Drosophila melanogaster: one gene and its partner. The protein of the gene in region 2 interacts with the protein of the main gene of each other region in a pairwise test. Each region holds a gene or a part of one and is shown on either strand. Other genes may lie near its edges.

The links.
Region 1: the proteins of CG4982 (region 2) and oc interact in a two-hybrid assay, tested with the Drosophila melanogaster proteins (one large-scale study listed by BioGRID).

The regions. Positions count from the first base shown.
Region 1 is NC_004354.4:8,648,854-8,652,784, forward strand, and holds the start of oc (ocelliless), read right to left. Parts: upstream 1,829-3,931; 5' UTR 1,522-1,828; exon of another isoform or gene 1,241-1,521; intron 1-1,240. UniProt on the Drosophila melanogaster protein: Transcriptional regulator involved in pattern formation and cell determination in the embryonic CNS and larval imaginal disks.
Region 2 is NT_037436.4:16,299,494-16,302,595, forward strand, and holds CG4982 (uncharacterized protein), read left to right. Parts: upstream 1-1,959; 5' UTR 1,960-1,990; coding exon 1,991-2,002; intron 2,003-2,065; coding exon 2,066-2,395; 3' UTR 2,396-2,534; downstream 2,535-3,102. Other genes in the region: CG13044 (uncharacterized protein), read right to left, coding at 3,088-3,102.

The DNA of each region.
Region 1 (3,931 bases), on a different chromosome or scaffold from region 2:
CGAATCCGAATCCCATTCTCAACACTTTGATTCGAATGGAGAAAGACTATCGGAATGGGAGAAAAATGAATCGACTTGCATATTTAATATTCAGTTGCTTTATGTTAGAAAACCATATGCAAATTAATAATAAAGCAGAACAACAAAGTAGCCAGCGAGGAGTCAACGTATTATTCAGATATTTTAATTTATAGCCGCCGCTTTGAAATTAGACGATCCGATCGCTAACATCGGGAAGTGGGAATGTGGTGATGTGGGGATGTTGGGAATATGTGTGAATAATGTGACCCGAACGGGTCCGTCGGCTGTCTTCTATTGTATCTAGTATTGATTTTCTTGGGGTTTCTTCGCCGTTGGCCCTATCATTTTGTTAGCCTTTTTTCTATATCACATTTCTCGTATCGATTTGGTCGGCTCTTGCTGGCTTCTTTTTGTTTTGCCTAATTAGGGGAGGCGGCCTTAATATGCCCATTAAAATTATGAAAATCATAACGAATCTCCGAAACGCGCATTTTCTCACATTACGATCAGCACATTAGTCATAGGCGGAAATTTCCTGACCGAAACCAGATTTTTAAAAAAAAGGCTCCATCATATCACGAAGAGCTGAAGGAACTGAAACAAAGTTTCGGGCATGGAATAGGTAACTCTATTGTTGGACTTGGGAGTCCCCGAAATCAATGAATAGTATTCCAATTAAAGACTTCTAAGATCCATTGAATCTGAAGCTAAATAAAGACTAGTATATGTGGCAAAATAATATCGGTTGATTATAGCATTTGGAAGAACATTTTAACCTTGTAAATATATGTAGAAGTGTAAGTGAAAAACAAAAGATCTGTCAAGTTCGGCTAATCGAAAATAGTGAACCAAACATATTATAACATATCTCTAAAGTCTGAGCTTTATAATGAAGAATGAAGATTGGCTCAAGAATAAAGTTGAAGCGATAACGAAAAAGAAAATAATTAAGCTTTACAGCGTGTTAGATCTTTCAATATTATTCCAAGTTTAAAGAGTGTATTTCAAATATGTCATAGATAATGTAAGACTTGTGACCTAATATCTCTGCTAAATAAACAAGTTGATAAGAGTAATCCCTAAGATAGATTCCCGCTCCCCCAAAAACTACTTAGGTCTACAGATTCCCCATGTAATCCGTGCTTATCTCTCGGCTCCACATTCCTTGCTGGATATATAGATTGCTACCGATTTCTCGATATCGGCGGATCGCACTCACCGAAAAAAAAACACAAACAAAACTAGAAGCAAAACGGTGCTGTATTCCAATGGTGACTTGTTTTCGGATCCAACTACTATATGGTTATGGCATGAGTATATTTTACACATGCATATATATAAAGATATATATGTATATTTATATATATATAAATATTGTATTCCAGAGATGTATGTTTTTTGGGCGATGTTTATGGTTTAGCACTGGCAACACGGTAAAAAAACAGATTCTCGTCACTTGGCACTGCGTTATATCCAAAAGGATATATCTCTCTGTATTACTTAGTATTCTCCTCTGGGGCTCTTTGTTTCTCTATAGCTGTGTTAGCTATAGCTTCTCGTGTTGATATTTGTTTATTTGTGTTTGATTGGTTTAGTTTGCTTCGATTTGATTTGATTCGGTTTGGCGACGGCGAATTGATTGTTGTTATTGGCTTGCGCTGGTGCTTGCTTGCTTATCGGCGAACGCGGCGAGTGGCGAGAGCGATCGAACGAGCGGCGAACGGGGCGAATGAGCAACTGAGCAACTGGGCGACGGACGACGCACAAAAACAACCCGAGCGGCACGAAAGTTACTCTGGAAATGAATTGCGGTACACCTTCCACGGACGATGGCAGCGGCGGCAGCAGCGCAGCGAGCAGCGGGCAGAGCAAAAGTCGTTCGACCAGAGTCTGCGAAAAAAGAAAAACAACAAGAAAAAATGTTGGAAGAAGAAGCAGGAAAAAAACAACAAACAAACACCAGCGGTGGTGGAAACGAGAGGGAGAGCGAGTGAGTGCCTGCTTTTAGCAATGGCTGCCCGGCTCTCTACCGCGCGCCAGAGTGAGATAGCCGTAGTTTCGCTCCGTTCCAGTCGTTCAGTATTTCGCTCTCTCTCTCTCTCTCACTCTCTTGCGGCATCTCTCTCGCACGCCGCTTACAACCTGACTGAGTGGGAGCGAGACAACTGCTGGTGGTACCGTTTGCTGAGCAGCTGTATTTACCGCTGTGTTGTTGCTGCTGCGCGTGTGTGTGCGCGCGTGTATGAGCGTGTGTGTACGTTGCTGGTGTGCGTTTGAGTGTGGGACCACACCCCAAAAAAATTCAGTTCAACAACTTTGTTGTTGCCACAAGAGCAAAAAACGAGGAGCAAAAAATACATAGTCATAAAAGGAGGAAAAAAAAGCAACAACGTACCTTCGTATTTTTGCGCGGCAGCAATGAAATTTTAATGAAAACGACAAGACAGCGAAAACAACGCAAAAATTTGTTAGCTAACAGCGAAAGATAAGGAAACGGGGGTAGGTGGCGACGGGCGTTTAAAGGACGCTGGTCAGTACCGCTACTTTTGCTACTGCTGCTGCTACTGCTGCTACTGCTTCTTCTTTAGCTTCCTCCTCTTCTACTTCTGCGTCGCAAATTGCCATGCACACACAACACCAGCGGCGAAAGCGCGACAGGGATGGGGAGAGCCAGCCACTCACACTTGGCACGCCCCCTCTCTTTCGCCCCAATGGGCGGCCCCCATTGTTCAATTATCATTTACGCAAAGTGAGGCGAAAAGAATCGAAACTTAAGGTGGATTTGGGTTTAAAGTCTAGTTTGCTATTCGTGGGCTAAGAATTGCTCAAAAGAGGTCTTTAATAAATGATTTCAATAGATATAGCTATTATAATTATGATTTAGTTTTGCAAAGCGGTTTTGTTAGTTTTAATTTTCAACTAGCTTATAATTATTAATTAGCTTATTTATAAATTCTCTACCATGGCAGTCTAACTGTAAATGATATTTTCGAGCAACCAACACTTTTTGTGCCCAAACATTTTTTTCTGTTATATTTTTGCCTTGTAGCTGACGCAGGAATAAAAATTCGCAGAGTTGGGTGGTTTGGGGGAGCAGCGGAAAAAACCTTATCAAATTTTTATGACAATTTGAAATAGCTGACGACAGTTGTTTGGCCATCTCACTCGCACTAACGGCCCGCAGGTTTGGGCGGCGAGAAAATGTTGCACAAATATTTTATGGATTTTTCTTGTTGAAATTGCTGTGTGCTTATTATTTTTTTTTTATCCAGCTACCGCACTTTTCCCATTTCCAGGCGGGCAAATTAAATTGTTGCGGCTAATTGATGTGTAGATGAAACATGAGGCAATTACCCTTCGAGGGGAAAAGCTTAGCGCACAAATTGGGACTCGGACACAACGAACGGGAAATCTCGAAAAAAAAATTGTACAGAGAGCCCGAAATGAAATAAAACAAAAACCTAATTTTCATGAAAAATGTTGCGGGGAAATGTAAAATGTTTTTGGAGTAAAATTCACGGAGGCAAAAACTGCGCGCAAATGAAAAAGTTTTAGTTAGACAAAAACTGTAATTTACTTACACAATTTACAAATAGTTAATTTAAACTTTCAATAGGAAGTTTGTTTTTTTTTTCACTTCAATTTCAATTGTGAAAAACCAAAATTGAAATAAGACTTTAACAATTATAGGTCTTATCTTTTGGAGTATATGTAAGTAACTAACGCGTAAATTTCATTACATACGAATAAAAACTACAACTGCCAACATGAAAATTGTATCTTTTTTAGTTCGGCCTTTTTCAGCGTCAGCGAATAAAAAACGCAAAGCAAGTAAAAAACCGATTTGAAAATGAAAATACTCAAAGTTGAGCGCACATATGTACACGTGGGTGTACTTTTGCCATCATTT
Region 2 (3,102 bases):
AAACGAACTCCACTTAACTCGACTTCGAGTTCTGTGTGTAATCAAGGAAGTTGTTGGCGCTCTAGTGTTTGGCAAGTTGCAACCGGCAAAAAGTTGCTGGTGCGTCTAGTTTTGTATAATTCAGTCATTAAAATTAATAAGACAATGCAGATCACACGCCCCACAAAAACACGCTGACAGCAAATCCCAAAAGGCGATGCAAGAAGTGGCCTAGCCAGGCATTTTCCAAACGTTTAGGCCTGGAGGCGGATGTGGCTATTACAAATCTAATTACATGGCGTATGAGCGATTTTCAATACTGTTTTTGGCCAGGCCAAGCTGAGTCGCACCGATAACGAGCAGATAAGGCCAGCTCAGAGTGTTGCTACTTTGCACCAATAATTACAACAAAAATCTCAGACTGGGCACTGCTTACTACAGCTAATTAAGTTGCATGTTTCATGGTGACAACCCAAAGATACAGATACAAAAGCAGTTGAGTTCGAGTTGAATTCGGGCCAGTCCCAGTGGACGCAGTCAACTTCTATTAGCCAGACTATTTAAAACTCTTGTCCATTTGTCAATATTCCAATTACTTGGAGATTGCATATGGAATTGTTTTGGAAAAGTGGATTAGCCGAAGCTCAAGTTCTTCGTGGAAATATTCACTTCCTTATGTGATTTGGCCATTACCATTACCAACTTGGTACGAGTTGGAGGCATAAATAAATTGATTAAAATATTTGTTGGTACTTTGGCCTGTTCTAATTGGTTGTAAGAAATCCCATATTTTCTTGCTTTTGGTCAAAAAGAGCAAAGTGGTTAATAAGCGCCCAATCGCTATCATGGGTTAAGCAAAAGGCAAAGCTTATATTATTTAAGAAAAGCTTACAACCAAGCTTCACTTTACGATAGCAGCTCAAAAGTATACGACTATTTTTCAAAACGACACTCAATTTTTCTGGCTTAAAACAATAGAATTGGTCACAAAGCCATAGCCATTATGTAGCTTTTTTTAACATATTTATTTGTTTCTTGTTTATCTTGGTTTTTTATTTCTGCAGCTGGAAATATTACACCCGGCGGTAAGTGCCAGTCAAAGATTTGTGCCAACTACTGCTAAACGAACCAGTGATTTACACTACCAAGCTGGCTGGGCCAAAATGTCTGCGGGCACACAGAGACCAAAGTGGACCGAATCCCAGTAACAATGGCATTCTGCAGTCGCTATGCCAACAATAAGAGCAACTTGGCCAATGATTAAATCGTTTCGGGGCCTGTCAGCGTCATGTTATGTATCTCGCTTCTGAAAACGCTCATTGTGGGCTTCTATTTTTTTTTTTTGTTTGTATATTTCTGCTTTGGTTTTTCTTCTTAATTAAATTAGAGCCAAGGTCGCCGCAAATGGGCTGGGAATCTTGGCGTGTTTGGTTAATTATAAGCAAAGTTAGAGGAAAGTATAGGCCATACACATGCGACATATGGTGTTTGGCCTACGATTTGCGTTGGTGGCACCCAAAAATAGTCGGGAAAATAGTCAGTGAGCCAGGGGAAAAAAAAAGAGTTTGGCTGTTGGTTATGCTAATGGCTTATGGCTGGAACGCTGGCCCACATCTGTGTGCCAGTCAAGTAGAAGAAATAACCAGGAGTTGGGAGCCAATTTAATGGGTGTGGGTGCTGCAACAGGTATCCACAAGTGGGTGGCTTGTTTATTTGCCTATTTACCTATTCGGCTTTAGCCTCGCCTCGGCCGAAAGCCGCTCGCTCAGTTACGCCCAAATGGGTCACTAATGAGCCATCTGGGCCTGGGAATTGGCTTGAGGAAAAACGCAAAAAACATCAGTATGGCAAAAACAAAAAAAAAAAAAACAAGACACACAAAATTTAGATGATGGCTCGATTGTTTGTGCCAATTCTAACGTAAAGAAGCCAATTCCCTTGGTCGGACTTGTATAAAACCCGAGTGACTTCTTCCACTGCCAAACATTGTTGCAGAGTTTCCCCAGCGAAGATGTTCAAAGTTGTGAGTTGCCCCTATAACACATAATATTTGGTAAATACCTAAAGCAATATCTATTCCCCTTAGGTGTTCCTTTTGTGCGGAGTATTCGCTGTCCTGATCCAGGCTCGCCCCAGCTACTTGCCCAGCTATGAGCACGTGGAATATGCTCCCAGTGTCGTAGGATACGAGAGTTATGCCCTTCCAGCCGCCGTCTCACACCAGAGTTCCACAGTGGTGCACGAGAAGCGTCCCTACTGGCGCCCCATTGTGGATCACACGCCCATCCTGAAGGCAGCCTATGCTCCAGCTACTTCGATCTCGTATGCCCCACTTGGATACGCGGGCAACAGTGCGGGATGGTACGAGCCGGGAATCTGGGGAGTATCCAGTTACCCCAGCATTTATCTGAAGTAGAACAACGAACAAAGAAACCCTTCTCCACAGAAAATCTCATTTTTGGTTATGTGTAACATATTACCTCTTCTGTATTGCAAACTTAAATGTACATCAAATATGCAATAAATAAAAACGTTCGACGTAAAGGTAATATCATAGTACCTATGATAGCTTTAGTGAACTAGCCTCTGGAATATATATAGTAATATTGGAAAACATTAGTTCTTGTTCTGGAAACGTACATAATCAAAAAACATACCAAACCAATATGGCTGGGTGCAACTGCGTCTCTTAAATCACATTTCAGTAAGTCTAAATTTTGTTGATTTTAAAGACAACCTGAATTTAATATTCAATTAAAAAAATTTTTGTTTATTTGCTGGGACAACAAATAAATAAATACAAATAAAATTCAAGCTTTGGTTTATTCAAAATGTTATTGAAGTATTTAGTTATTGTGCATCGATACCATTGTTAAATAAGTTTTGTACTTCAAATGAATTTAATTCTGTTTTTAAAACATTCAGAAATGTAGGAACACTTTTTAGAACGCTTCTTTGTAAACTTCAGAATTAATTTATATATCCCCACATCATTAAGAAATTCACATCATCTGTTTGGTATTCACAATTTAATTTATTCTTTTTTCGATTTCCTTATTTTTTTTCAACTAGAAAGGCACAGTTCAAACTCTTTCGATCCTCACCACATTACCAGGAGCCAGC